Rhinolophus ferrumequinum: one gene and its partners. The protein of the gene in region 4 binds, or shares a complex with, the protein of the main gene of each other region. Links are inferred from orthologs where the notes say so. Each region holds a gene or a part of one and is shown on either strand. Other genes may lie near its edges. The genes, in order: RBM8A, ALYREF, UPF3B and EIF4A3.

The links.
Region 1: EIF4A3 (region 4) and RBM8A share a complex: the UniProt entries of both Homo sapiens proteins name them as parts of the ALYREF/THOC4-EJC-RNA complex. The link is inferred for Rhinolophus ferrumequinum from reciprocal best matches to the Homo sapiens genes EIF4A3 and RBM8A.
Region 2: EIF4A3 (region 4) and ALYREF share a complex: the UniProt entries of both Homo sapiens proteins name them as parts of the ALYREF/THOC4-EJC-RNA complex. The link is inferred for Rhinolophus ferrumequinum from reciprocal best matches to the Homo sapiens genes EIF4A3 and ALYREF.
Region 3: EIF4A3 (region 4) and UPF3B share a complex: the UniProt entries of both Homo sapiens proteins name them as parts of the mRNA splicing-dependent exon junction complex. The link is inferred for Rhinolophus ferrumequinum from reciprocal best matches to the Homo sapiens genes EIF4A3 and UPF3B.

Annotation. Positions count from the first base shown.
Region 1 is NC_046305.1:50,159,151-50,166,289, forward strand, and holds RBM8A (RNA-binding protein 8A), read right to left. Parts: upstream 2,334-7,139; 5' UTR 2,255-2,333; coding exon 2,188-2,254; intron 1,915-2,187; coding exon 1,855-1,914; intron 1,729-1,854; coding exon 1,651-1,728; intron 1,478-1,650; coding exon 1,341-1,477; intron 969-1,340; coding exon 832-968; intron 722-831; coding exon 676-721; 3' UTR 517-675; downstream 1-516. Other genes in the region: LIX1L (LIX1-like protein), read right to left, coding at 6,996-7,139.
Region 2 is NC_046304.1:54,671,024-54,677,926, reverse strand, and holds the start of ALYREF (THO complex subunit 4), read left to right. Parts: upstream 1-3,886; 5' UTR 3,887-3,907; coding exon 3,908-4,144; intron 4,145-4,588; coding exon 4,589-4,720; intron 4,721-6,128; coding exon 6,129-6,276; intron 6,277-6,841; coding exon 6,842-6,903. Other genes in the region: ANAPC11 (anaphase-promoting complex subunit 11), read right to left, coding at 3,088-3,196. UniProt on the Homo sapiens protein: Functions as an mRNA export adapter; component of the transcription/export (TREX) complex which is thought to couple mRNA transcription, processing and nuclear export, and specifically associates with spliced mRNA and not with unspliced pre-mRNA.
Region 3 is NC_046284.1:37,074,222-37,081,611, forward strand, and holds the start of UPF3B (regulator of nonsense transcripts 3B), read left to right. Parts: upstream 1-4,380; 5' UTR 4,381-4,469; coding exon 4,470-4,625; intron 4,626-5,507; coding exon 5,508-5,614; intron 5,615-5,779; coding exon 5,780-5,886; intron 5,887-7,390. UniProt on the Homo sapiens protein: Involved in nonsense-mediated decay (NMD) of mRNAs containing premature stop codons by associating with the nuclear exon junction complex (EJC) and serving as link between the EJC core and NMD machinery.
Region 4 is NC_046304.1:53,515,916-53,523,745, reverse strand, and holds the start of EIF4A3 (eukaryotic initiation factor 4A-III), read left to right. Parts: upstream 1-4,811; 5' UTR 4,812-4,847; coding exon 4,848-5,016; intron 5,017-7,514; coding exon 7,515-7,587; intron 7,588-7,830. UniProt on the Homo sapiens protein: ATP-dependent RNA helicase. Involved in pre-mRNA splicing as component of the spliceosome. Core component of the splicing-dependent multiprotein exon junction complex (EJC) deposited at splice junctions on mRNAs.

The DNA of each region.
Region 1 (7,139 bases), on a different chromosome or scaffold from region 4:
GACTGCAGTGCCTCCCGGCCTCAGCCACATCCTTTTCCTCTTTGGTGTCCTCAATGCTGCTCTGGATTCTGTCCTCCATGGGGCATTTGCGCTTGGATGCTGAAGAGGGCACCAAGAACTTAACATAGACTCCTCCAGGGAAGGAGGGTCTGGAAGAACTCCCCGACGGGACATTCAGACCCTTAGACAGATGGAAGTACACACAAACGTGGCAGCAACAGCAGCAGAAATGAAAGAAACATTCCTATAACATCCATTTGCTCCGGACAGAGTATATAGGGACAGAATAATTATTCTTTAACATCATGAGAACATCTCACTGCTCTTCCTATTCTTACTTCCAAGGAAAATAAATACTAAGCAGTGTCTCTACTTAGACCCTTTGAGACTTGAGACTATGTGTAATGTAGATATTCACACAGAATTCAGTCACTGGGAGAAGTATCTTTACAGTGACCCATACTACCTTGTTGGAAATAGCACTTCAGAGCTTCCAATGTTAGAACAGAAAAGTAATTTTAAATGTAGAAAAAAAGAACGGGACATTTATTTGTAACTCACAAGAACCACCAAGCAATAAGGGAAGAGATTAAATACAAACAGTGAGTTCCAGCCCAGCCCTATGTCTCCAAGGCTGGAATCTCTGGAGAGAACACCCGGACAACACAGGACCTGTCAGCGACGCCTCCGGTCTGGACTCCTGCTGCGTCTTCGGCCACCTCTAGGGAAAATGAAGGGAGGGAGGTCCGTCAGAGGGACACAATACAATGTCCTTATTCCATTTCACTCATATTCCCTTCCCCAAGACGGTGTGTGCCCTCTCCACTTTACCTCCTCTTGCTCTTGGGTGGACCCCGAACAAAACACCAGTCCACGCTGATTGGCTGTCCCATCAAATCCTGGCCATTGAGTCCTTCCATAGCAGCCTGGGCCTCCTTGTATGTTTCATACTCAACTAGAGTATAGCCCTAGGGCAAGTGGAAAGGCAGGTATCAAAACCCTCCTATTCCACCGAGCTGTTTTCTACTCAAGTAGGACAGTCCATGTGTATAAACTTTAAACAATGAATATATATCAGAGGGTGCCAAAAAATATATATATACATCTTAAGAAAGGAAAAACTGTGTTAAAATTGTAATACTCAATATATACCGATAACAAAAGATGAATACAAGTCATGTGTATACATGTTTTTGGCACCCCGGTATATCCCTACTGTATTTACAATATGTTGTCTGTTTCTTTCCTAACAAAATCAATTTCCAATGATATTTTATTTCAGCTTTGCTCTTGGCCAACCACACCAAACATGGGAGGCAATGGAGTGTAACTTAGGATACCTTCAGGTATCCTGTACGCCTGTCCAGGTTGAGGTGGATATTTTTTATTTCCCCATATTCTGCAAATTTGTCATGGATGTCTTCTTCCGTGGCTTCTTCATGGACTCCAGTGACAAAGAGAATCCAGCCTTCAACAGCTGTTGGGGAAAGGAGGGAGGTTGTTTGAGCCCATGAGAGAAAAACTTCAAGCAAGATCACAGGAGTGTGAACTCCAGAGACTGGTTAAGCTATCTCTGACCCCTTTCCTACTGGTTTTACTTTATTAGTCCCTCATTCCTACACAGACACCTACAGGCTCCATGTTACTTACAGCGTTGTGGTCCAGGTTCATCGCCATCCTGCTCCACGCTGTCATAATCCTCACGCATCCGCGCTCGAGACCCCTCTTCTAATAAGAAACATACACGAGATCACCGGAAATCCCTTCTCCCACCGTTCCCCAGGAATCAGAATGGGGACTCCAAAACCCGTAGCTCTAGCCGTTCTAGACCCCCCTTTCCCCACAAACACTCACCGGAGCCAAAGCCGCGGCCCTTCCGTTTCTTCGCTTTTTCCTTCAGTTTGTGGATGCTCTCTGCGCCCCATAAGTAAAGAGTAAGTAACAAAAACAACACAATAGTCTCTCTCCCAAGACAACATCTGAAAGCGGACCCCCATCGCCTCCCATCCCAGTCCCTTCCCAGTCCCGCCCCCAGGTTCTGCCCCGAAGGGGGCGGAGTCTCCACTCCAACCGAAACCCGGTTCCCCGCCTCCCACCCTCCCTGCCGGGAAGAATGGAAATTGTTTTCCTAGTACGCCCTTCTGTCGCACCTTCCCCGCTTCCCGCAGCCGCCTCCACCGTCCTCACCGTCCCCATCCTCATCCATGGCGAAATCTTCGCCCCCGGCCTCGTGAAGATCCAGCACATCCGCCATCTTGCCTTCGTTCTAATTCTCGTCTGTGCCGCTCAGGAACTAAGCATCTCGGGAAACTGTCGCGGAGGGGAAAGGTCGCCAGTCAAGATAACCAATCAAAAGCCTACTCTAAGTCCCGCCCATCGGTGCGGTGAAAATACGTCCTGGAGGCGGGCTTAGTCCGGGAAGAGCCGGAAGTGTTCCTGTAGCCATTTTGAGCAGGTCGTGAGCTGGAAACAGTGTTGCCGTGAGAGACAAGCTAGGGGTAGGCGGAGATGGTGGCTTCCTCCTATTTAAGGCTGCCTTGGAGAAAAACTACTGACGATGGAGCTCAGCCTAGTTTCTTTAGTAGATGGCTGCCTTCCGTCTGTTTTCACCCCATACTAGGAAATGGAAGTTGATAAAAGTTTTTTCTCTCAAAACTTCCAGGCCTGTACCCTGTTCCTGGGAGCAGCCGGATCTGTGATGGAAGCATTGTTAAAAAATGGTTCAGTCAGCAATGCTGGCTCCAAGAGCTGCTTCTGGAACACACAGTGACGGCACCGAATTTCTCTCTTAAAGAAACTAACAAACCTAATTGTCTTGAAATTGGATTGGTGAAAAAAGATAAACCAACTTTTTCTTTTTTTAAAAAAAAGCTAAACTCCCAAACTCTTCCCACCACCTCTGGGAATTAAAGGAAAAAAAAAAAAGGCATGGCTTCAAACAAAATAGGAGCTTTAGCTTTTTTGAGAGCATGCGGGTATTTCATGTTTAAAAACCTAGGAGAAGAGGCAAAACCCATATTGTCCCCAAATTCTGGAACCCTGACACAGGCCTTAAACAATAGTAGACTGCAGATTCCCTTATTAATTTTTTAATCAAACAGTTATGCATGCCTGTATATGCGTGTGTCTAATATTAGAGGAGGTGCTGGCAATACAAGGAAAAATAATTGCATTATCAACAATCATAATTACATTTGTAAGTGATAACTGCTATCACAAAGGACTCCGGCAGTACAAAGAAAGTGCCTAATAGGACTGGGGGTAAGGGAAGTCCATGTAAGGGACAGCTTCGGTTTGAACAGGGCCTTTAAGATTTGGTAGTTTTCCAGTCAATGTAGTTGTATTGAGACCAGGAGACACTAATCTATTCTCCACAGTAGGTAGCGGGATCTTCTTCAAAATTAGTTGGTCACATCCCCCTATTAAAAACCCTTCCTTGAATTATTTTTGCACTTTGAATAAAGTTCAAACTCACAGCCTGCCCTGCCTATGTCTCCAACCTCTTCCATCACCATTCTTCCCTCTCATGCATTACGCTCTCCCTACACTTGCCCTCAACTCGGTTGTATTGCACTGTTTCCCATCGCAGGACTTTATGCAGCTTTCTGTTTCTGATGGTCTTACTCCAGCTCTTCACATGGCTAGTTCAACCCCATCCTTTGTGTCTCCCTAAAATACTATGGTCACCCAAAGGGGTCTTCTCTATCCTATCCTTCACTCTGTTTATGCCTTCATGGAACTTAAATCAGAATCCTTAATTACCTTGTTTACTTTCTAATTTGTTTAATGTGTGTTTTTCCCATTAGAATGTAATCCTTATGTCAAGAGACTCATATTTACAACTGTATTCGCAAAGTTTAGAACAGTGCCTGGCTCAAAGTAGACATTTGGTACTTACTGAATTAATGATTATCAGAATAGCAAGAAATTCTGTATGCTTGATGCTGTGTGACTAGGAAATAAAGCTGGAAATACAGTTTAAGGCCAATGCTGAAGATTCTGGAACTTATCCTGAAGGAAATAAATTTCCCTACTTCAAGTATTTGCATATTCATTATTTTTAACATTTGTAAATGGGCCTTATTCTATTTTTATTAGCATTTTTCCTTAAATAGACTGACTTTTTAAACAAATTTACACTAAATTTAGATATCACTATCATATGTGGAAAACCTATGTTTTTTACTACAAATTCAGATAAAAACGTAACTAGTAAAGATGAAAAATGTTTGCCCATCTACCACCCAAAGTCATCACAGGTAATAGTAAGGGTTCATATATAAAACTTTGGGAAATACTGCTAAAGGTGAAGATAGCTAAGTGATTATTTAAGCAAAGGAGTGGTACAGTCGTAAGTATTTTAGAAAGAAATCTGACAGTAATGTGGAGGATGTTAAAAATGAAGGCAGAGACTAGTTAGGAAACTATTGCAGTGGTCCAGCCCAGAGATGATAAAGGACTGAATTAAGGCAATAAATATAGACAAAACAGATTAGAATGTTTACACAGGAGGTAAATGCAACAGTAAGTGGCTTATTAGATGATGCTAGGGAAGAGTTAAAGATGGATCTGGGGTTCTAGCTTAGGTAACTGGGTAGATAATAATTCCAATAACAGATCTGGGGAATCAGGAGCATGTATGGAGAATTGGATTTTATTTTGGATATGTGAGTTCACAGAGCTTCTGTTATATTCAGGTGGTGATGTTCAATATATGGAAATATAGATGTTAAGACTCAAAATAGGTTGGGGTGGAAGAAATAGATTTGAGAGTCATGTATGATACAGTTTAGACCACCATGATGGGTGAGATTGCCAGTGATATTGTGTAGAGCTCAAGGAGAAAGGATTAAAGACAAAATCTAGGCTCCTCAAATGTCTGGAAATGGAGAGGCAAAATGTCTTCCCCCAGCAGTACAATTTTATTTCTACCACCCAAAAAAATACTAATAAAAATTCTTTTTTAGTATACCTATATGTAAGAGAAAGGGTTATTTTCGAGCTCCTCTGATACATAGGTCTCAAGAAAGAGTCAATCTGGCTCACTAGACAAAAATCTATTTTTAATTGTATAAAATTATACATATAAAATACATAGAAAGTACTAAAAAGATAAGTAAAATCTTTAACAGCAAAAGTGTACAGATCAGGGAACAATTTTTCTCAAGTCCTTTGAGATCTTACTTGTTGGTATTCTAGAAAAACAAATCCAGGAAGTACGAGGACAAGTTCTTCCCACAACTCACACCCCTTAACACTTCCCCAAGAAAGGAGCATAGGAGAAATGAGGGTTTGTGATTTCCAGATTATAAATATCAATAAAAACTGAATAGACACACCTATTTTTAAATGTAGGAGCCTCTGCTCCAACCCTACATGTGCTTCATGGAACAGAGAGAAGGGGTGTGGAGAATTCAAGGAAGTCCCTTTCAAGAACTAGTAACAATTGTTGCTAGAGTCCTTACCTCTGATCCCATATGTACTGGTCACCAAGATGATTTCAAACGCAAGAAAGCTGACTTCCATCTTGTCCCTGTCTGATCCAAAAGAACAAACTGTGGCCTGTTTCCTAACCTATTTCTGAAAGCAAAGTGTATAACTGTTAAATGGGAAGTCTAATTGTAAGCACATTATACTTCCCAAGTTCAGTTTAGAAAGTGCATTGAGCTGAACTATAGTATAAAGGAGACTACAGAAACAAGGGGGAATTATACCTTAGAAGACCTACAAAAAATACTCCCAAAGGTGAATGCTTTAGCTGTTCTCCAGATCCCATCTCTCCTATTCCACCCAGGAGAGAGGTGGGCGGAGAGAACGGTATTAAAAAGCAATCCCTGATAGCTGATTATTGATTCTCTTTCCCTTCCTGCAGTCTCCCAAGGTTCCAATTAGGAAGTGCCATAATGCCAAAGTCTTCTCTGATTTTCCTGATCTACTCATGCTTTAATAGTGTGGAAGAAGAGGAGAGAAAACAAATGTGAATCTAAGGTAGTAGACAGCAGCAACTTCATGGCAGAGAGAGGAACATGGTCCTCTCCAAATAGGATAGGTCATTTTTCCAAAGAACAAAATAATGGGAGGAGAGAGAAGAGGGAAATAGGTTTTACCTTTTATCAATCTCTGCAGGCAGGAAGGTCTAAATACAGGGCTTAACTAAGCTGTGTGAGCAGGGGAGGAAGAGGAGGGAAAAGTGAAATACTGAAAACAAGCAACTTCAACCCTGACCCCTTCTGTAGTGTAGAGTACGTCCAGGCATCTGGACTACCGGTATGGTATCTCTGCCCCAGATGCAATTTAGGTGATAATCCCCTACAGATTGTGTTTATACTTCCTCTTGTTCCTGGGCACTTTCTCAGGAATACTTTAAAAACAAGAAACCGTATCTCCACTTCCTTCCAAATAATAAAGTAAAGAAGCCTCAAAATGAAGGACCGATAGGAGTCAAGAGAGGGGAGTAAGGTAGTGGTGGGGAGGGGTGGTGTAAGTTAGGAAATACCGTTACTGGAGGAACAATTCTGTACCAAGTAGGCCCAACTCAAGATAAATCAAAGCAAAAGGCTTCGGACTCATCATAACCTGTTTGAGTCTAAGAAAAGCAGGAATGGGGTGGGGTGCACATAGCCCTTATTCAAGCTCCCTGGAATTTTAAAAGGAGGAGACATGAACACTTAGTCCATCGTCTCATGCTACTGAAATGACTACATAGTTACTAGGAGTGTAAGAGACAACAAAGCTCCAAAGACAGCCTGCTCTTCTTGTAAAGTGGTGTGGAGATGTTTCAAATGAAACTACATCCAAAAACTAGAAGTAAGAAAGGGGATCTCTTAGCAAATAGGAATCCAGGTGTAGAATCCAGGTGTAGAATTTATACACATATATATATCTCTATATTTTAAAGTATAAAATTGAGAAAGTATGTACAGAAATCACACTAAGTCTTAGAAAGGACATATAAAAAAGAGCCTGGAGAGGACGGAGAGTATGTGGGTGGATGCCTAGCAGTTGGAAGAATGCATGTTGCCCAACTGCCCAGCAGCCAACATGAGAATATCTTTCTTCTCCTTGTGGAAGCGCAGCTCCTTGCCTGCCAGCCGGGCTTCATCCAGCTCTCGCTCAGTAGAGGCCAGCTCTCTAGACAG
Region 2 (6,903 bases), about 1.2 Mb from region 4:
CCTCAGGCCCGAGAAGCTTCCGTCCCCAAGCGGCAAGACACCGGAGTGGGCTGCACTGCTGTCTACGGCCTGGCCTGTTCTAGGCCGGCTGTGAGCACAGTGCTACCTTCCACCTCTCAGCCGTTTCTAGCCTGAAAAGGTCCCACCTCCAAGGCCCAGGCACACGCTGCCGGCACCTGGGAGCGCTGCATCTATGGACAGGACACGCCACACAGCTCGTGCTCCAGACACAAGCGTCCCTCTGATTTCCCAAATTCTAGAAAACGCTGTCAGTCAGCGGTGCCAGCGGCGCACAGTGACCTCCCCAGGCCCCCCGAGCAGGGTCCCCACAGACATCCAGGAGCTGACACTCGCTGCTTCCACCCTGTCCTGGGGTGCCTTTCCCCCATGCCACTGCCTTGGGGGCCCTCTACACTTAGCGAGCGCTAGCTACATCCAGAGGTCACTGCTGCACAAACACAAGGGACCTCAGAGACAAGCCAGGCCCAGTGACCAGGGACGTCTTTTCCAGGCAGCAGCTCCATTTGCAATACGTGTCTTAGGTGCAGAGGACAGAAACTGTCTTTGGACCCGTGACCACAGGGCCAGGCCTGGCCGCCACTCTTGACACCAAACACGGGGTGGCGTGACCCTGCAGCACATTAAAGAAAGAACACTACGGCCGAGCCATAAAACAATGCTCTCAAAACCCCACTTAACAACCGCTTGCACAGAACAAGGGGCTAGGAACACGGCCTGCACTCTCCTCCAGCCTCTCAGCACTCTGCAGCCTCCTTGGCACCCCATCTCAGACAGGCGGCCGGGGTGGGTACTGGGTCAGGGACAAACATGGGCTCCTAAGTACGCTTGGCGTCTGCTGAGCACGCACAGTTCCCCACCCAAAGGGCACAGCCATCCACCAAGTCATGAGGGAAAGTGGCCACCGCTCCACCTTCTCATTCACTTGTTCGGGACAATGTTTCTCAACCTTTTAAAAATCCTTTCTAAAACAAAAATGTCCCTTGCTTCCTGAGCTTTTATGACAAAACCACCAGAAAATTATGTGCTCAGCAAATACAAAACATGTCACTCACTCTCCTTCCCAGGCCTGTGCAGGAGGCCACACTGTGTGACACCTGATTTAGATTAGTTCCCACCCCCCCCCACCCCGGGCCCCCCGGGCCTTTCCAACCTCAGAAGAAAGAACGCCCCTTGGAATCACCATATAAAAAGTAGAGTCCCTTACAAATAGAGGATGGAAAACCATGAGCAGGAGCCTGCTAGCCGCCTGGTGGGGCACCCGGCCACCCAGCCACTGCTGCAGAGCACGTGGACAGAGGAACCTGCCGGGGGCACGTGTTGAGCACACGAACACCAGGTCGGTGGCTCCCCCAAAGGCCTGCTAGTGTCTTGATGGAAGTCCTTTTTAGTTAAAACACCCCTCAACAAGACTTACTCCCAGAGCCCTCAGGGCCACGGGGCAGGTTCATCATAGGCTCAGAGGCTGTCGTTCCGCACAGGAGCTCCACTTCAGCCACAGAAACCCAGTGCCACCTCAGCTGTACAGAAAGCACCTCATGCTCATCAGGCGCCTTGAACTTGACAACTGGCTCACTCCACAGGGTCCAAGGATCAGACTCTGAACCCCTACTCTCGCAGCTGGCAGGCCCACATGTGGAGATGCCCAGCCACAGGCCCAGCTGGAATAATACTGGCGGGCTCCTCAGGCAGTGCAGGCCCAGTGGTGCCATCTTTATACAGGCTCACTAGCTCACACTGACCAAGGGCACGGCCACAAAAATGCTTTTGAGGCCTTTTCAGAAAGGAACAATCTGCTGCATAGAAAGTTGCAAGGATTTGCTCCTTCCGGCTCCCACTGTCTCTGTGGTACCCTCAGGAAGGGCGATTTAAAAATAGATTAAATCAAACCAAGCCTTGCGCATCGCTGTTCTCATTAAGTGAAACCTGATCAAGTAGAGCCAATCAATGAGTTCCTAAGATTAAGTCCCACCCATTTGATTAAATCAGGATGGACTGATTCCTGGGTAATGAGATCTCTTTTCACCCAAAGCAGATATAAAGATTAAGCCTAGAAGAAAAAAGTATTTGCACTAAAAGTCCATGGTTTACATTTCACTGTAAGAAGCAAAGCACGGTTACTGTTCTGGGCACTCATGTAGCCCCACGAAGACCTGGTCATTCACAGGGCAGTGAGGAGCTCCTCAGGAGTCCCCAAGCCCCCCTTCCCTCTTGGGACCGCCCTTGTACCCTAGACAAAGCCTTGACCCTTGCTTCTGCTTTGGGTTCACTTGGGTCTGACTAAAAAACTCAATTCATTGGTGCAAAAATCTGCTTTTGACCTAAATATATAATCAAACATTCCTACTTCACAGAACATCCTGACGACAAAGGAACAGGGCAAAAGACATCACAAAGAAGAAATCCAACAAAACTTGATGGTAGGCACTCTGCAAGGTAACACGTGGGTTTCCTCAAGGAGTCAGGTGTCTTTAAAGGGGAAAGAGGGGCGGGGGAAGGGCTGTTCTGAGTAGCTAAGGAGCAGAGTAGTGAAACGGGGAGTCCTGGTTCAGACCACTTGGGGAAGAAGACATTTGGGGACAACCGGAGAAATCTGAATGTGGGCTAGGGATGGGCACAGGTGACACAGAGGAATTCTTAGGTTGTCTGATGTGACAACAGTAGCGTTACATTTAAATGCGACTGAGTGAGTGGGGGGAGGCAACACATGAAGCGAACATGGAAACGTTATTCACTGTTACTCCCTGTGCTCAATGGAGGGCGTATCCTTCTAATATTCCTTTTCTTGTTTGAGAATTTTCAAATGAAAGGTTTTAATGCATCTCTTTGTCCCCTGAGTTTCCCGGCCCAGTTTGATCGTGATAAAAGGCTGTACTGTTTCTCCTTACAAAACTTTTGATGGTGTCTTTATACAAATATGGGCCCAAACCGCCTACCTTTTCTCTGCCAACTTTTCTTGAGAAAAGGGAGACCACAACCCAGGGACTTTGTGCGGGTATTTCTGGGGGAGACAGCACCGCCAGGCGAGTAAACAGAGCTCAAGACACAGCGAGCACAGGGGACACTCACAGTCCGGGCAGCAGCCATTAAAGGCCATCCGGCAGATGCCGCAATTCTCGTCGTTGGCCACCCAGAGCCAAGTGGCCACGCCGTTCCAGCACTTAATCTTCACCTTCATGACGGAGGAGCCTGCGGGCGAGGGGAAGACATCACCTGCTGCCCTTAGTCTGCAGAGCGACAGCATTTAGACACCAAACAAGGGATGCTGCCCGAGGCAGAGGGTCGGCTCTGAGAAACCCTTGTAGCCACCGAGAGGGGGAAAGGCGGCTAAAGGGGTCGCCCGTGGGAGGACCGGAGCCCCGGATACTCGCCACGCACTCAGGGCATCTGCAAAGACCGGCCAAAGGGCGCGCTGGCTTTCGCTACTAAACTGCCACAACGTGCCATACAGCACTTCTTGAAGGACATGACTAACTTGGGGGTGACGGGCAGAGACTCGAACCTCGCTTGCTGTGAGTTCACGCGGGAAACCACCACCCAGCCGGAGTCGCCCGAGGGGAGGGGCGACGAGCCCCGTTCCGCCCCGCCCCGCGCCCAAGCGGACTTAATCGCGCGCAGCACCGCCCGCCTTCAGTTGGCAGCGCCGGAGCCCGCGCGCGAAGCTACAAAAACTACCGCGGCCGCGGCCCGGGACCTGGCAGTGGAGCCCGCTGACCCCCCCCGCGTCCCAGTGCGCACGCGCCGCCCCGGCCCCCACCGCCTCCGCCGGCCTGCAACCAATCGGCGGCCGCTCCGAGAACGCGGCACCGGAAGGCCCCGCGCGTCGCCGGAAGTGACGCGCCGGCGTGCTGACGCGCGGGCTCGAGCCGAGGCCGATTCCGCGCCCGCCATGGCCGACAAAATGGACATGTCTCTGGACGACATCATTAAGCTGAACCGGAGCCAGCGAGGCGGCCGCGGCGGGGGTCGGGGCCGCGGCCGGGCTGGCTCGCAGGGAGGCCGCGGCGGCGGAGCACAGGCCGCCGCGCGAGTGAGTCGGGGCGGCGGTCCCATGCGGAACCGGCCGGCCCTCGCCCGCGGCGCGGCGGGCGGCGGTGGCAGGAACCGACCGGCGCCCTACAGCAGGGTGAGTGCGGAGGCCGCCGGCGGGCCGCGGCAGGGGAGCGGCGCGGCGGGGCGGCGCGCGGCCGAGAGGGCGACGGGCCGGGCCGGGCGGGTGGGCGCGGGCGCGGGCGCTGGGCCGGGCGGGAGGTCGCGCGCCGGCCGGGCCCGGGAGGCGGACACCCTCCCGGCCTTTGTCTGGCCGCCGAGCCTCGTGGCGGCAGGCACTGAGGGGACGTTTCCGCGGCCACACCGGCGGCGAGAAGTTAGTTGGAAAAGTCGCGGGACGTGGGGCCCCGGCAGGGTCGACTGCGGCTCGGCGCGGGCGGGAAGCGGAGGGCTTCAGGCCCCTTTCCGCACTTTCCTCCGGGCCCCGCTGGGAGAGGGTCTTCCAGGGGCAGTGAGGGCGAGGGGCAGCCCTGGAATGCAACTCACGGGTTTCTTTCTGTTGTGTGTTTTCCCCCTTCAGCCGAAACAACTTCCTGACAAGTGGCAACATGACCTTTTCGACAGCGGCTTTGGGGGTGGTGCCGGCGTGGAGACCGGTGGGAAACTGCTGGTGTCCAATCTGGATTTTGGAGTGTCGGACGCTGACATACAGGTAAGAGACAGGATCCTGTCGGTCGGTAGTTGACCCACGCGGAATTGATGGCGTTTGGGATGTGGCCCTGAATCCCTTCCCACCTTAGGACATTGAGCCCTCCCAGACACCCGAGGGCTAGCCACTGTCCCCTGTCAGGGGCTGCTAGGGTGGAGAGCCGAGGTCATGCTAGAGCTGAACCTGCAAGGAGTAGGTCCATTTGTGCTGGAAAACAGGCCCCCAGCCTAGTGTAAGGAGCCGCTGCCCTCCCTTACTAAAACCTGTTCCGTGAGTGAGGTTCTCTGCCAGAGCTTCCCGTTTCTAACAGGAAAAGACTGGTCAGACTCGCGTGGTTCCTGTGTTACTGATGGAGCTGGGCTGCTTGCTTGCTTTACTTTGTGCTTGTTTTCATGATTCGTTGAGAGGAGAAAGACCTACCTCTGTAGAGGTGACAGCACAGAAGCAGGCCAGGGCGTCTTTCTGGCTGTCGGCCGTGAGCCCTGTGTCTTACACGTGCCGGTCCACTCACCACCATCCCTCAGGTCTTGTTAGTAGCATGACTTGCCGACCCATCTTTGGTTGAAGCCTCTTCCCGCCCCCCCCTTTTTCTTTTTCTTTTTTTGATTGAACCTCAAAGGCATTTAAACCTATTTTCTGGTTAAATGACAACATCTTGGGGGTCAGTCCTGGAGATGGCCGGGTCAGGGTTCTGGGCCTTCCTGGGTTCAATTTCCCAGAGCCCAGCTGTGGGAGGACAGAGCAAGGCTGATGAGCACTCACAGTGTCTCAACACTTTTTTTAAGGTGGTTTCTGGCATCCACTGGAAACCGCTTTTGGTGAACTCCACTTCCCGCTGTGTGCCTGCGGCCGGAGTAGCCCCACACTCTGGGTTCCCTCTCCAACTCCCAGCCTGCCTGAGGTCAGGGCAGTTTCCATGGCAGCGCTTGACTTCAGACTTTGCGGCAGGCTTGAGTAGGAGGAGAGGGAAAGGTGAGCCAGAATCTGCCCCGGGGGAGGGGCTGGGTCAGGGCTCCCGAGTCAGGGCCCTTGGAGCTGGTCCACATGTCAGACGGCGCCCCTTGAGCTGTGGTCTTGGCCTTTGCTGTTTGTTGGCACAGTCCGTGGGTGTGTTGTACACTTTCCTTTGCTGAAGGAGATAGTGACCTCATGTCGTGCCCTGCACTGATGGGCTTTGCGGCCCTTCACCTGCATCGTGGTACAGATGTCAGGTCCCCAAGTTGGCAGGAGCCCTCAGGCCCAGCTGCTCCTGGAGGGGGCTGTCCCACCTGCCCCATCCTTGCCCCCATTTCCCACTACCACTGCCCTGCCCCCAGGGAAATCCCCTCAAAGTAGCTCACACTTCCAGGGACTGTCCCTGGGCCAGCAGAAGGAAAAGAGCCCGCTGACAGTTGCTGTTTCTAACTCCCAGGAACTCTTTGCTGAGTTTGGCACTCTGAAGAAAGCGGCCGTGCACTACGACCGCTCCGGACGCAGTCTGGGAACAGCCGACGTGCACTTTGAACGGAAGGCAGACGCCCTGAAAGCTATGAAACAGTACAACGGCGTCCCTCTGGATGGTGCGTTTGGGATTGGACCCAAGAAGACTGAGGGGCCACGCCTGGTTTGTGGAGTTGGGGCTGGCACCCGTCCATGCAGGAATATGGCTCTCCCCTCTGGCTGAGGACACTTTGCACTCGCCCCTTTGTCTCTCTCCCACTCTGCCACTTCTCACGCTGCCCCATACATGTGGACCAACCTCTTGTGAACCCCCACCAGCAAGCTACATCCCTCCCCTCGTTCAGCTCCTTCGGAAGACTCACTCCTGTGAAGCCTTCTCAGCCGCCAGAGTACACCTCTGAGTGCGGGGCTGTAGTCGTAAACAAAGGTACCAGCTCTCCTCCTGGCAGGGCGCCCACACCGTTCCGCCCATGAGCAGCCTGGACACCTGACCAGACACCCTCCTAAGCTGGACTGAGGAGCGAGGAGGTGGTGGTGGGTTGTCGTCGGCGCCGTCTCTTGTCGCGAGCGATCGAGACACGCACGGCCCCTTCCCAGTGCCTGCATGGAGACCGGGGCGTGGTGCCCTGGGTGGGCGTCAGAGGTCTCTAACAGGAACGTGCCCTCTTGTATTCTTTGCCACAGGCCGCCCCATGAACATTCAGCTCGTCACGTCACAGATTGACACACAGCGGAGACCGATACAG
Region 3 (7,390 bases), on a different chromosome or scaffold from region 4:
AGTCCATTGCTGCCGTTCCCCTGCTTTCAAGTATGTGGGTGCTGGCAGCAAAATGTTTCCATTTCTGCCGTAGCCTGGCTTTAACAAAGTCTCACTTGTGGTAACTTTTAACTGAATGGGAGCGGCCGTTCGATGTAGCAGAGGTTCTACTGGTGCGGGTCCTCCCTTCTGTGGTCTCTCATTCAGGATTCTCAAGATGTCCCATGGACGCAAGTCCCAGTCACGCATCGTGGGAGGGTGTTTTGACACCCGGAGACCTTGCTTCAAAAGGCCATTATAGCGTTCAATCATGCCAGCTACTTGTGGGTTATACGGGGTATGAAAGAACCATTGCACGTCCATCCTGGCAGCCCAGCGCTGCACTTCTTGCCCCATAAAATGGGTACCCCTGTCACTTTCAATGACTTGGGGGTGACCATAGAGGGCGCACAGCCGTGTAAGAGCGACCAATGCATGCCGCTGATCCGCAGCTGGACACGGCCAAGCAAACATCAACCCTGTAGCAGTGTCCACTGCTGTGAACGCATACATCACATTGCGGGCCTTAGGCAGGGGACCAATATAATCCACTTGCCAGCGAGTGAGGGGCACCCTCCCTCGTGTAATCTGCTGTGTCTCCCAGTGGATCCTCCACCTTTGGGGGCTGTCCTGGGCACAGACGGCACAGTCATAGCAGGCATCTGCTATCTCCTGCCATTTCAAAGGCAGACCCCAGCATCTGCTCACCTGCCACATTGTTCGGCTTCCAGCGTGCTGCAATTTCCTATGCAGCCAATGGGCCACATCAGTGGCAGGAGCCCATTCTAACCATCAGACCCGTGCTAGGGCATCTGCTTCATCATTACCTGGGGACACTAAAGGGGACTGACCTGTGACATGCATTAGGGTCACCTCCTTTCTCTGCCCTAGGTCCCAGAGGTCCTGCCACATGGCTTGACCCCACACAGTGTATGGTGTCCGTTGGCCACTGTTCTCAGGAGTTGGACCCCCAAGGAGGGGTGGGAGGACATGGATGGCTCTCCGGCCACCGTGGAGAGGGCCCTGCAGGCTCTGGCTGAGCGGTTGCCGGAGGAGGCGAAGGCTACAGCCGGCTGCGTGGACTGGATGTTCCTCATGGCGTTGAGTCTCAAAACGGAAAGTGCGCTTAATGAAATGATCCAGGTGCCGGACCAGGTGTCCCGGTTGGAGGCTCTGGAAGCCCGGGTCCGCCTGTTAGAAGAGGAGCCCCACAGTGGAGAGTCTGAGGCAGAGGCGGAGGAAGTGAGTGGAGACAACGTAGCTCCCAAACCCCTAGCCTGGCCAATCTTGAAGCAAAGGGTAAAACGTGACCCCGGGGGCGTTGCTGCAGGCAACCCAGCTGTGATTTAGTTCACAACCTACACCCCTTACACTCCCACTGAGTTGCAGGAGCTGGGGAGGTGGTACAGACAGAGCCCTGGAGAGCCAGTCTCCGCTTGGCTACTACGTTTATGGGATAAGGGAGCAGACAACATTCTCTGCTCCCCAGGCGAGATGGAAAAGCTAGCCGTCGTGACAGTGCATCCGTCCCTGTGACAAAGGTTACAGAACTGCCATAGGTTGGCTCAAAACCAGGGCAACCATTCTCTAATGGAGTGGCTCATTGCTGCGGTACGCACAGTATGGGGACAGGCTGGCGAGTTGCCAGACACATACCTTTTGCAGTAGGATGGAGGCCAAGGCCCCGGACTCCAGGTCAGGGTGTACGCTGAGAATCGGAGGTTTCATGTAGAACTGACCATCCACTGGTCTTCCAAGAATAAACAGAAGGTTTTAGCTCTTGTTGATACCGGAGCTGAATGCACTTTGATATATGGCAACACCAACTATTTCCAGGGACCTGTGGAGGAAGCACTATTAGGGCTAAAATATACCTACAAATTGGCCAACTCCCCTCTAAACGATATGTAGTGCATATCTCACCCATGCCTGAATACATCTAGGGCGTGGACATTCTGGCAAGCCTTACACTTAACACAACAGCAGGGGAATTTAGACTGTGATGCAGGGTGGTGAAGGCAATCACCTAGGGACATGCCAAATGATCTCGTTTGAGACTCCCATCCCCGCGTTGCATAACAAATACTTGGCAATATCACCTGCTGGGGAGAAGAGATAACCCAAACTATACAGGAGTTGGCAAAAGTGGGCATTGTTCACCCAACCCACAGCGCCTTCAACAGCTCTGTGTGGCCCGTGTGAAAACTAGATGGCACTTGGAGGATGACTGTAGACTATCGGGAATTGAATAAGGTAACTGCCCCCTCTCCCCCGCATATGCAGCTGTACCTAATATTGCTAGATGGCATTGGACAAGCCCTGGGAATATACCATTTTGTCATAGATCTGGCTGATGTTTTTTTCAGTATAGCTAGTCAAGACCAAGTTGCCTTCATATGGGGAGGGCAACAATGGACATTTACCGTCCTCCTCCAAGGCTACCTACACAGTCCCACTATGTGCCATGGCCTCGTGGCAAGTTGATCTTCAGCTCTGGTAAAAGCCTGTCTCGGTGCACCTGTTTCACTATATAGATGACATAATGTTACCTTATGTGTCTCTTTCAGATCCAGAGCAAGCAGCTGGAACGCTGATTCCCCACCTGGAGCAACAAGGATGAGCAGTGAACTGTACCGAAGTGCAAGGGCCTGGGTTCTCTGTCAAATTCTTGGGTGTTACGTGGGCGAGTAAGACAAAAGTCATGCCAGAAGCAGTTACTGACAAAATACAGTCTTTTCCCGTCCCCTCATTTGTCCCCCAGTTACAGACTTTTTGGGGCTTCCTGGGCGACCCTTCATCCCCCACTTGGTCTAAATCCTTAGGCCATTATGTAGACTGGTTAAGAAGGGGATCCCAGCTCATGCAAAGTTAAATACCCCACCTGGAAATCATGAGGCAGACAGCCTCACCGGGCTGCGTCAGCCCCTCAGGACCATCCATGACTCCCCTGGAAGAAAGAGGAAGGCCCAGCTCATTTGCTCTCCTGACACCTGGGCCCTACCAGGCCCTCTGAATTCAAGTGATTGGGCCACACAGTCTCATGCCTCAGTGAGGCACCAGAAGCAACCTCTTCTTGCTGCTGCCGCAAGACTTACCCACAGGAACACACACGGTCTCTTGGCCATGGCACTGGCAAACCAGGCCTTGGTGGTTGGGTATCTTGGGTATCTTAGCCCCGTGGAGTATTGGTATAGAATAGAGACTAGTAATATCCCCAACCTTTGTCTTAAAACCCCTCCCATGTCACTACTGAGAATCCAGGGCCCATGATAAAGCAGAGCTCCCTATATATGACCCCTTTTCTGATTAGTTAGCCTCCCTCACTCGCTCCTGGCTGTTCACATTTTTTGGGTATTGTTGCTTTCCTCCTGGACCTGTTATTGTTTTTCCTTTGCTTATGTTGTTGTTGTGGTGTCTGGTTACAATGTACATCTTCAACCTGCAAGAATCTGGGAGCTATGATGAGGGGGCGGGATGTAGGGACCTGTCCACAGGCAGATAAGGTAGCTGGCAGTCAAGGTTTCCTGGCTCCATGGGAATGCTACTGCATGACAGCAGGCCTGCAGGGCCTGCAGATGATTTCTCCCATGGAATGCTCTTTGTTTTACTGTACTTATATAACTTTGCTTCTGCGCCTGTGTGCAGAATGCTACTCCTCTGGCTGGCCACCACTGGCGACTGTTCCCAGTCTGTAAGTCTCACTAATACCTATCTTGCACCCAGTTACCTGGTGTGTTCTTTGGGCTTGTGGCTTCTCAGGCACAAATGTTAGAACAACTCAGACTCCGTCGGAACAGGCAGTTAGGCAGAAGGTGAAAGGTCCTGCCTGAGTCTTTTTATTAAAAAATAACCAGCTTAAAATAATCAATATCCCAAAAGACATTTTGGGTTGGCAATTTCTGCTTCCCCTCAGAATCAATGATAGAAAACACAAATTGTTTCCCCTAGTGAGGTACACTTTGGATAACATCGGGTTTATCAGAGGAACACGATATGAAGGACAGCACGCAGAACCTATCTTTCGATCTGAGAAACACTAAACATTCGATATTGAAGTATTCCTTTTACTTAAAAATAGAGACCCTGAGATACCTAAGGCTCCAGAGCTCCCAGCCAGAAGCGGGTAACTGCTTTGCATGCCGGGATTTGTAGTCCAGGAAAGAGTGCTTGTAGTCAAGATGGAGGAATTGCTGCGCCGCGAGGGGACTGGGCGGTGCGCGGATTGGGCTGGGTGAATTTAAGACCAGGTATTCAAACCTCTCCTCCAGAGGAAGCAGGGCGCCCTGTAGTCTCGCGAGATCCTGACGAGGCCCAATGGAATGCGGGGCCGTCTTATCACTAGGGGCATTTGGTGGGGGCGGAGTCTTGACGGAGGTGGGCCGGCAGTCGTTAGCTGCTCCGCGTATGGGCGTTTGGGCCGAGCTTCGACTGTGAGGAGCAAAGCAGTGGCCATGAAGGAAGAGAAGGAGCATAGGCCTAAGGAGAAGCGAGTAACTCTCTTGACTCCCCCCGGGGCCACAGGCAGCGGCGGTGGGGCTTCCGGGGACAGCACCAAAGGGGAAGATAAGCAGGATCGGAACAAGGAGAAGAGGGAGGCGCTGAGCAAGGTGCCTGGTCCGCCGTTGGCCCGTGAGAGGGCGGGACGCGTTCGCCACCCATGGAGGATGGTTGGGAATGGGGTTGCCCTCTTCCTCTCCCGGTCGACCCTTCTATTTCTTCCCCTGTGTGAAAACCGCATCACCCTGTCTTAATCTCTGGACCGAAATGGATGGAGCCCCTCCCGGCCAAGCCCCGGGGTGGGAGTGAGGGAAAGGGGATTCCCAGATGGAGAAGGGTTTAGGTCAGAGCTGTGAGATAATGGGAGGGGTGGGGAGCGATAATGAAGAGAATGAGGAATTAAAACATTAATTGGGGGAAATTATTAAATACTGAAGGGACTATCAAGGGTGGGAGTAGTTTGTGATAGGAGTATTAATGGAGGCGAGTTGAAGGAGTATGGGGAAATTAATGGTCTGGGGGCCGGATCGGGTGCATCCTATTTTGGGAACAATGAGGGCATTCGGGATATTCCTTAGAGTTTTGAATTCTTTATGCTGAATGAGGAAGGGTTTTGTTTTAGGATGTTGGATGTGGTAGGGAAATAATAAATCAAGAGTTCGTGGCACCCACAGAAGACCAGGGTTGGCCTACTAATTTCTTACCACTACATCTATTGAAAAATGGGTGATATAAAATGATGTGGAAACCTGGTAAACTTCGGGGCTTCAACCTGAGATTTTCCTTGGTCCAGACAGTTCTCATTTCTAAGAGTTTTTAAAAACTGTGTTACTATTTTTTATTAATTCTGAACATTAGGAGACTATTTTCTCCTGGGTTTTTATAAATGATCTCATCTTTCAAAGCACAGCTTTCTTCAGGGATGGTGATTCATTCATGTATGACTGAAAATTGATTTGTACTAATTTTATTTTACTTATTCATTTCTGAAGGTGGTAATTCGGAGATTACCTCCCACTTTGACCAAGGAGCAGCTTCAGGAACATCTTCAGCCTATGCCAGAGCATGATTATTTTGAGTTTTTTTCTAATGATACTAGGTAAAATAAATAAATAAAGGGGGGTAAATGAAAAAGGTTTCTTCCATTCTTTTTTATCCTACTGTTTTCCATTTGAGTTTTGAGCCTGTCTCTTTAATATGTGCATTCTTACAATTCAGCCAGACACCTGCAAGCATATTTACATAATTGCTTTCCTCTCTGCAGTCTGTATCCTCATATGTATGCCAGAGCATACATCAACTTTAAAAATCAAGAGGACATTATTTTGTTCAGGGATCGCTTTGATGGTTATGTATTCCTTGACAATAAAGGTGAGTTCTAGTAACTAAAAGAGTTTCTTTGTCATTTGTGTTTAAGACAATGTGTGTTATCACAGTGTTTTCTTAATGCCTTGATAGCTTTTCTAAAATCCTGGATGATAAAACGTGCAACATTTAAAGACTTAACCTATTGACAAACCTATTATAATCTTATACATAGATATGTGTCTTTTCACAGTCCTCTGGTATTTTTATTAACCCGTTATTTCTATAGTTTGATCAACTGAATGAAATTGCCTGTTTTCTCCTCCTGTGACAATTTTTTTGCCCTGAATTAGAAAATCTGTTGTTTGACCAGTTTCAGCAGTTATACTCATAAGTGACTCTTTAAACTTGTATGGCAAGTTTAAACATTTCTCATCTTGCTTCAGGGATCAACATTTGTTTACTTAATTCAAATAACTTAAGCCAATAGTTCCATGCTGGAATACTGTTTAACATTCTAAATTGTATGTAATTAAAACATCGAATTTGATGATCTCCCACTTTGTATCCAGGAGTCTAAAGAGAAGAAAAATTTCTGCCTTAACTCTATTTATTTTCTGCGGCTTGCAACATTTAGCCAGAGAATGTCCTCACTGCCATTTGTCACTTTTCTTTGGCTTTGCAATCATAGTGAATGATGTGTCTTTTTGTTGAGTTTTGTTGTTTTCAGTATTACTTCAAAGTTAGTGAAAATGAAAGCTTTACCAGGGAATATGCCTGTAAAAGTAGGATTGCCACTGTCCAACTTTTATAAATCCCCACAAACTAGCTACTTCTCCCCTCCAGCAACTATATTCCGTAGATAGCAATGGTTTCCTAGTGACTTAACCTGGAAATCTCTGAGTTGTGTTTAACTCTTTCCTCCTTTTTATCCCTTACATTTAAAGAATTGATGAATCTTTTAAATTTGTTTCTTAATGTCTTATTCATCCAGTCTAACTAATATTTTCATATTTGATATCATCACCTAATGCTTAGACAACCACTGTCTCTAAACTTACAGGGTTTTCCTTTTTTTCCTTTTCTGTGTAATTCAGTCTAACTGCCATAAAATTAATCTTTTTGGAAATAGTCATTTAAAATAATAGTTGTGAAAAAGTCCAAACTCCGGGCAGCCGGTTAGATCCCCACATGGACCACTGTGAGCTGTGACCTCTACAACTAGATTGAAACAACTACTTGACTTGGAGCTGATGGGTCCTGGAAAAACAAACTTAAATAAATAAAAGTTTTTTTTAAAAAAAAAAAAAAGTCCAAACTCCTTAGCCTGGTAGTCAGGACCCTCCATAGTCTGGCCTCACTTCCGTTTTCTTCAGCCTATCTTCCACAGTTTCGTTCTGCTTTGGTCTGGGTTATCTATTCATTTTCAAACACATCAGTTATTAAACTAATGTGATTCTGCATGTACCAGGCTTTCCAAAATTATGTTTCCTCCATGACTGCTTTGTGATGCCTTCTGGTCAATTCTACTTACTTTATTCTGGCTTATGTCTATATGCCAGTGGTCTTT
Region 4 (7,830 bases):
GGATGGGGGACGATCCTCCTTCCTTTGTGAACAGTCAGCCGGTTCATCATAACCCCTCAGGGAAAGTGCTGGGGAGACTGGGATGAATCCTGGAGACTTTCTTTGGTTCTCATGATCAAGTACGGGAAGTATCTTACAATTCCAATGGATGCACCTGAAATCAGCATTTGATGACTACTATTTAGATTCAGATGACAGTCTTGGTTCTTCGACTGCGTTTCCCCAAAAATCAGACCTAGCCAGACCATCATCAGCTCTAATACATCTTTTAAAGCAAAAATTAATATAAGACCTGGTATTATTATATTATATTATACTATATTATATTACATAAGACCCGGTTTTATAGTAAAATAACACCGGGTCTTGTATCAAGTTTTGCTCCAAAAGACGCATTAGAGCTGATGGTGCAGCTTGGTCTGATTTTCGGGGAAACACGGTAGGCTAATACATGTCCAGAATCGGATCGCTGCTTGACACCTGCATGGCTGTGCCCTGATCACCACCTACCTGTACCCCTGCAATGATCTCCTAGCTGCTTCCTCCCTTGCCCCCAAAGCTAGTTCTCAACACAGCAGGCAGAGCAATCCTCTTAAAGGGGGAGTCCGGTCACGTCTTTCCCTTTGATCTAGAAGCCCCCAAGTCCTCACCATGACCCAGACACAAAGCCCTGCTTATCTTGTACTTGATGACCTAATTCCCGTTCAACATGCCACACACAGGGGCCTCCTTGCTAGTCTGTGAATGCTCCGTGCACACTCCTACCCCAGGGCCTTTGCACCTGCAGTTCGCTCTGCCTGGAATGCTTTTTCCCTCACCTCCTTCAGGACTCCACTCAAGGGCCACCTTCCAGAGAGGGCTTTCCAGACCACTCTATCTAAAATCATAGACTTCCCACCCTGGCCGTCCCTCCACCTTGCCCTGATTTTTCTGTATTGGACCCATTGCTCCCTGACATATTACATATCCTAGTTCCTTGTTTGCTTCTTGCCCTCCTCCCCACTATGAGCCTGTGACCTCCAGAGGACAAGAATTCTTGTCCTTCGTATAGCAGAGCCAGGCCATCTTTTACACTGATTATCAGAACGCGTTCCTGTCCCCGCAAAGAACGCACCCTGAAGTGGCTACTGTGGCAACTACGGTGCCTTTAGCCTCCATCTCCTTGTCTGTAAGACCTTTCCTGATCTGTCCCTGTTCCCCTCCTCCCACTCCCCACCTCGCCTGCATTCATGATGCCACAACCACCCTGGCCTTGTCCTTTGACGTGCCAATACCCTACCCCTCCGGGGAGTCGTTGCACTCCGTCCCTTCTCCCTAGAACCCCGCCTCCCCCACCTCGTGTTTCGGTGGCCACCTCCTCTCACAATTCATATGGCACCTTTCTCCAGCCACCTGGTAAGTCAGCAACCTCCTAACTCCCTTCCACTTTGCCTCGTTTCGTTTGCAGCAGACTGGCTATAAAACCTGCAATTATCTTCCTGTTTTGCATGTTTTGTTGGGCTTGCCCTGTTCTGGAACACAGGTTCTGTGAGGGCAGCACTGTCTGTCCTTTCTCCACCCAGTCTAGCATCTCAGGGGTGCTGTGTGCACATCTGCTGCCCTGATACTGGACGCCAGCAGTGCGGGGTCAGCAGTCCAGTCCGGCGGGTTCAGGCGGAGCTTCGTCGGCTGCCCGCCTGGTGGGTGGGTTAGAGAGGGCAGCACCTAGAAAGAGTCTGCCATTGAGTACCAGGTAGTAGGTGGGGTTCCTGGCAGGAAGGTGCTGTTTGGGGACAGCCCCTTGGATCCAGGATGTCAATTCCCGTGGTGATGACTCATGGAAATCCAGCTCAGCCCAGCCCTACAGCACCCACCGAAACCTCGAAACCTCGTCCCGCCCCTGGACGAGGCCCACCCCTTTCACTGACTGCACTCGGGAGTCCAGCCTGGGCCAGGGAAAGAGGCAGATCGGAGGCGCAGCCCAGCGTCATCCGTCTTCCCCAACACGCTGGCGTGAACTCAGGCCCCCTCCAGTGTCCCTCCTGTCCTCTTGCCCCGGACATGCAGGCACACTTACTGTGTGCTACAGCAGTGATGGGGAACAAAACAGACATGGGCCTTCCCTGATATTGGTCTAATCAGGTGAGATAATACCTGGCCCCAAATATAAAGGGTGTGGGAGGTGAAGCGCAGGAGACAGAGTCTATCTGGGGGGAGAGGTCATCCCCCGGATTAGACTGACCCCAAGAGGACAAAGACGAAGTACGCTTTGTTCCCTATTGCTCCAAGAGCACCGTCCACCAAGAGACTGACTTGACACCCCCCCACCACACAGCTTCTGTCATTTTCATGGACTCTGGCCTGGAAAGCTAGAAGGTTATTGGTCCCAAACCTAAGGAAGAGACCCTTTAGAGGTGTATTCAGACACAACAAAGGGGACTTTGCCAGGAAAACAGCATAAAATACCATAAAAGTGTGAAGGCAAAAAATAAGTGTAGGTGGATCCCGAAAAAGATAAAAATTCCAAAGTGCAGAAGAGGCCATCATCCTCTCGGCACCAGAAGAGCGCAATCATTTCTTCCCCTCCTCTCCGAAGCCAGTGTTGTGTGAAGCCAGTGTCGTGCGGGGCGGCCTGCAGGGTCTCCCTCCCGCTCCCCACACAAGAATGCAGGATATGGTGAGGCCAAAAAGGAACACCCACGAAATTAATCTGGGGAACGTAATTTGGTGGTTACCAGAGGGTAAGGGGGTTGGGGGGTGGGGGATGAGGGTGAGGGGGATCAAATCTATGGTGATGGAAGGGGAGCTGACTCTGGGTGGTGAACACACAGTGTGATTTATGGATGATGTGATACAGAATTGCACACCTGAAATCTATGTAATTTTACTAACAATTGTCACCCCCATAAATTTAAAAAATAAAATTAAAAAAAAAAAAAGGAACACCCACGGAGCCATCGGTAGGGGAGTCACACCACTATACTCTTGCTGGCGGCTGGGTTGGAGACACAGGAACCAGGAGCCACACAATTCTCAATCCTCACTGCGCCGCTTGCAGACTCAGCCACCCTCTTCTTGCTAGCCCCCACTTGCTAGCCACAGCAGTTATATTAGTGGCCAATGGCTCACTGGTTACAGCTGACGGCCAACTAGCCACAGCTGATGGCCATTTGATCACAGTCGACGGCCATTTACTACCTGAGCCAGCACCTTTACTATGTGAGGCCGAGCGAGAGCCTGGAAACTGCTTTTTAGGGCTCTGTCCCCACAGCCAGAATTCCTCAAGTCAGTAACCTCCAATTCCCTAGTCCCCCCCACACTCCTGGTGCTTATTTTACATGCGTTAAGTACTTAGGGCAGCAAGACCAATCAGAATCTCATATAGAATTAAAATGTTTCTCGTTGCTACACTGTAATAGTAAAAAGAAACAGGTGAAGTGAATTTAAGTAAGTCAGTACATCTAAAATGTCATTTCAACATAATCAACGTAAACATTAGGCATGAGCTGGGACGTCTTTGGAATCTGTGCGCATTTGACAAACAGCCCTAGACAAGCACGCAGCTGGCAAAACCAGAGTGTGCGCAACCCCCGAGAAGGCACCGGATGGATGATCCCTCGTGGAGTGAGAAGACCTAAGAACTTCTATTTAAAGTCTAAGAAAGAAACTCGGCTTTATAAGTACTTCATATTTGATTAATACCGGCATCCTTCTTAGGTACGTTTAGCAGGTCAATTAGCTCTAAGGACTGGACTTACTCTGACGTCAGGGTGAGGGCTTGGCCGAGAAGCCCTCACTCCTTTGCTGGCAACCTGTGCAACCCAGTGCCCGCTGCGCTGCCGGGTGTAGCGGGTGACCCGAGCGTCCAGCGTTAACTAAACTCGCCTTCCCCACGGGCCGGAGTTCCGGCAGTCCCGGGCAGAGGCCCCGGGTGAGGGCGCGCCGGGTGACGCGAGCCAAGGAGTCAACGAGAAAGGACCGAGCTGGCGGCGTGCGGGAGTCACGTTCACAGAGGGAAAGACACACAGTGTTCGTACCCCGGGGGGGACACAGGCCAGGCGGGGAGGCCGGCTCTGCAGCCGGAAGTGGAGGGTCAGGTGGCACCACCGGCAGAGGCACAACTAGTTCACGTCCTCCAGGGCAGCACAAGGCCGTGGTCTCCGGGGGTAGGAATTTACGGAGGTCGGGGCTGCAGCGTCAAACGCGGGCGCGTCCCCACGGTCACGCAGCCGGTGCTGGGTCCCGGTGCGGGGACGCCGCCCGCCCGCAGCTCACACAGCCAAGTCAGCTCTCACAGGCCGATCGTGGCCTCCCGCGACGCGTCCTCCGCGGCCCAGCACACGGGACCTCAGCCATGAGCACTAACCCATCTCCCACGTTGTGCCCGCGCCCTCCGGCCCCGGCCAGCGCCAACGTCGGAATAAGCGTTTAAACGGGGGGACGTGCGCACTGGGGGGCCCTCGCCCCGGGTGCCACTTGAGGCAGGGCCGCCTGGGGCTCCATTCGGAACAGGGGCGCCCGGGCTCGGCCCGCGCGGAGGACACGGCCGCGGGGCCGCCGCCGCCTCAGCACCAAAGCATCTTCCTCCGAACTCCCGAGGCCCCACCCACCGTGAGATCCCGCGGGAGCTGACTTGGCGCGAGAGCATCAGGAACTCCGCCCCTTTTCCTGGGGCGAGCAACCCTTCCGCGTCGCGGGACGAGGGGCTCCGCGTCCCTGCTGAGGCGCGGCCCTGACGCACGCTCGCACGCACGCTCTACGCAAGCCGCGCGCCTGCGCGGTGACGTCAGTTCCTGTCGGCGGCGGCCTCGGGCCCTGTTTCCGCTGTGCGCTGCCGCGCGCGCTCCGCTCTCAGCCGACCCGGGATCATGGCGGCCTCAGCCACGATGGCCACCTCGGGCTCGGCGCGGAAGCGGCTGCTCAAAGAGGAAGACATGACCAAAGTGGAGTTCGAGACCAGCGAGGAGGTGGACGTGACCCCCACGTTCGACACCATGGGCCTGAGGGAGGATCTGCTGCGCGGCATCTACGCCTACGGTGAGTGGGCGCAGGCCCGGGGCGCGGGCGGGAGCGCGGGGGGCGAGGCGGGGGCCGCGGGGCGCGGGCGGGGGGGGCCGGCGCCGGACGCCGCGGGTCGGAGCTGAGGCCCGGCGTGGAGCGAGGCCTGGGGCCGCTGCTGGGCGCCCTCCGCCCCCAGCACGCCGTCCCCACGCCGCGTCCGTGGGCTCGGTGTGGGGTCCTCGCGGCAGAGCCCCGCGCTGGTTCCTCAAGAACTGCGAAGTCTTCCGGGCGTTTCCGAGTCGTTCATTCAGCCGGTACGGTCTCGCGCCGGCAGGTGTTAGGGCCGAGCGCGGCTCCGGGTACCGGCGTTAGCGGTGAGCCGGGCGCCTTCGTGCCCCGGGGAGCTTACGTCGTCTGCGGGAAGGACGGCACGTAGCCCAGGTCGCTTCGGGGAGTGATAACGGCTGTGAAGACAAGAAAGCGGGATACCTGGAGTGTGACTTGGGGGGAGCGGGGGTTGAAATAGAGCCGGTAGACGAGGGGGCTCCCAGGAGGAGTCGACGGTGAGCTGAGAGCTGGAGCAGGGAGCCCGTTACGAGAAGACGGGGGTGGAATTGGGCCGCGGGAGCAGCCGATGCCGGGGCCCCGCGTTCCCTGAGCGGGGTGCAGTCCAGGAACAGAAAGAAGCCTGCTGTCCTGGGAGCCCAGGGATGATGAGCTGGGAGAGGGGACCAGGGCCAGCTTTTGAAAAGCGTCACGTTAGGTGATAAAACGTTTGAGTTTGATTTGTAAGAGCAGTGGGCAGCCATTGGAGGATGGAAGCCAGGAGGTGAGGCCGTCAGAGTTACTTACAGATGTTATCCGGGTGTCTGGATTTGAGGGGAGGTAGGGCAGGAGAGGGGCAGGGGGACGAGTTAGGAAGCTTTTGCTCCTGGCCAGGGCAGAGGTGATGGTGAGCACCCCCCGGAGACGGGTGCTACGAGGCTCCCTGAGGGGCCGAGTCCGAGCAGCAGAGGAAAGGGGGCATGCGATTCCTGTGTTGAGCCGGTGGTGGTAGACACACCAGAGGAATGATTCGCGGGAGACCAAGAGTGGTCTGTTAGAGTTTATTTGGCTGTTTGAGCTGCAGGAGGTCAGGCTGGTGGAGCCAGCAGAGGGAGAAGATCATAACCCCCCGAGCAAAGGGGGATGGAGTTTTATAGGAGGGTGAACGAGGCTGTGCCCCCGTCAGTGACAGGGTTTCAGGGCTCCACGCCCCGGCCCCAGGTCACACACCGCCCGGGTGCACTGATCACAGCCCCCCAGGAGATAAAGCAACACAGGATCAAGACATGATGGCTTTGAAGATGCGGTTTCTGCTACTGGCCTAAATATGGCTTAATGGCTTAACAGGCGGGTGGTGCTGCCATTTGCTTAGGTGGGGAGCGCCCGAGGGAGGCAAAATCAGGGGCTCTGTCTAGGACATGGTGAACTTGAGGGGCCTGCAAGCCATCCCGCTGGAGATGCCGGGGAGGCAGGTGTCTAAGTGGGGAGCCCTGAAAGAGGTGGGGTCGGGGGTGCCGATGGGAGTGGTCTGCATCTGCCTCACACCTGGGACTGGGCCATCTTTTACCCAACAGCCCTTGACATCACCGCGGTGTAGACAGAGCAGAGCAGGTGCTGAGAGGATGGCAGGGGAAGTTGCAGTCAGGCTTTGGAGTGAGGCTGACAGCCCTGCCGTCAAACGCGGTTTTTAGTTTCCCGTCCATGTGCTTGGTCATCATGAGGGGTTTAAATCACCTATTGTAGTTGCTTTAGTGTTAGATGGGAAATTGTACTACATTTTAAAGTACTACCAAACTAGTTAAAATACAGTTTGGTACATGCGGTTTTGTTTACTTGGACAATATTTCTGTTCCTTCTGAGTGGGCTCCTCCCTCGGTCACTTACCCTGCTGTGCGAGAGGGATGGGTGGTGGTGGTGCCTTTCCTGTCGCCCCCGCGTCACGACAGGGAGGAACCGGGCGCTGACCACCCCACAGGGCCGCCTGAACAGTAGCTTATGTGCAGTTGCAGACGAAGCAAACAACCTGCAGACGTAATGCTGACACGAAAGAGTGGTGGTTACAGCATTAATGAATTGATTTTCCTTGTTTTAATTCAAAAGTAATGTAAAAAAGAAAAGCAACGCAGGTGATTGTAAGGTAGTCAGACAGCACAGAAGTAATTACATAGGCTAAAATGTGGGCCTCCCCCACCCTTTCTCCAGGAGTACCACCACCACCATTTTGTGTGTTTTCAACCCAACTAGGAGTCGTTATACTCTGCAAGGGTGTTCCTTGTAAAATAAGGGCCCGCGTCAGTCAGTATAAAAGGCCACTTCTGCCCAATTTCAGCAGCTGTTTCTTGAGCGCTTGGTATGTTGGACATGGGGTTAGGAGGGGTGGGGTGGGGGTTAAAAGAAGATGCCATCTCTGTCCCAAGGAGCTTACAGTATATGGGTGTAAAGATGTGGGGCTAGAGGTTCGAGCTAATTTGTTCTGGTTTTCTTTACAGGATTTGAAAAGCCATCGGCAATCCAGCAGCGAGCTATCAAGCAGATCATTAAAGGGAGAGACGTCATCGCACAGTAAGTCTGCTCGCACGGAGGGGTCACATGCTCTGGTAAAGCCAGCTCAGGTGACCCTGGAACAACACGGCTGTGAGCTGTGTAGTGCCACTTACACGCGATTGTATTCAGTAAATACGCTGAAGGTATTATTCTCTCCCTTACGGTTTATTGGTAACATTTTCTTTTTTCCAGCTACTTTATTGTAAGAATATAGTAGATAACGTAAGGAACGCAGTTGCTTACATTATGGGTAAGGCTGCC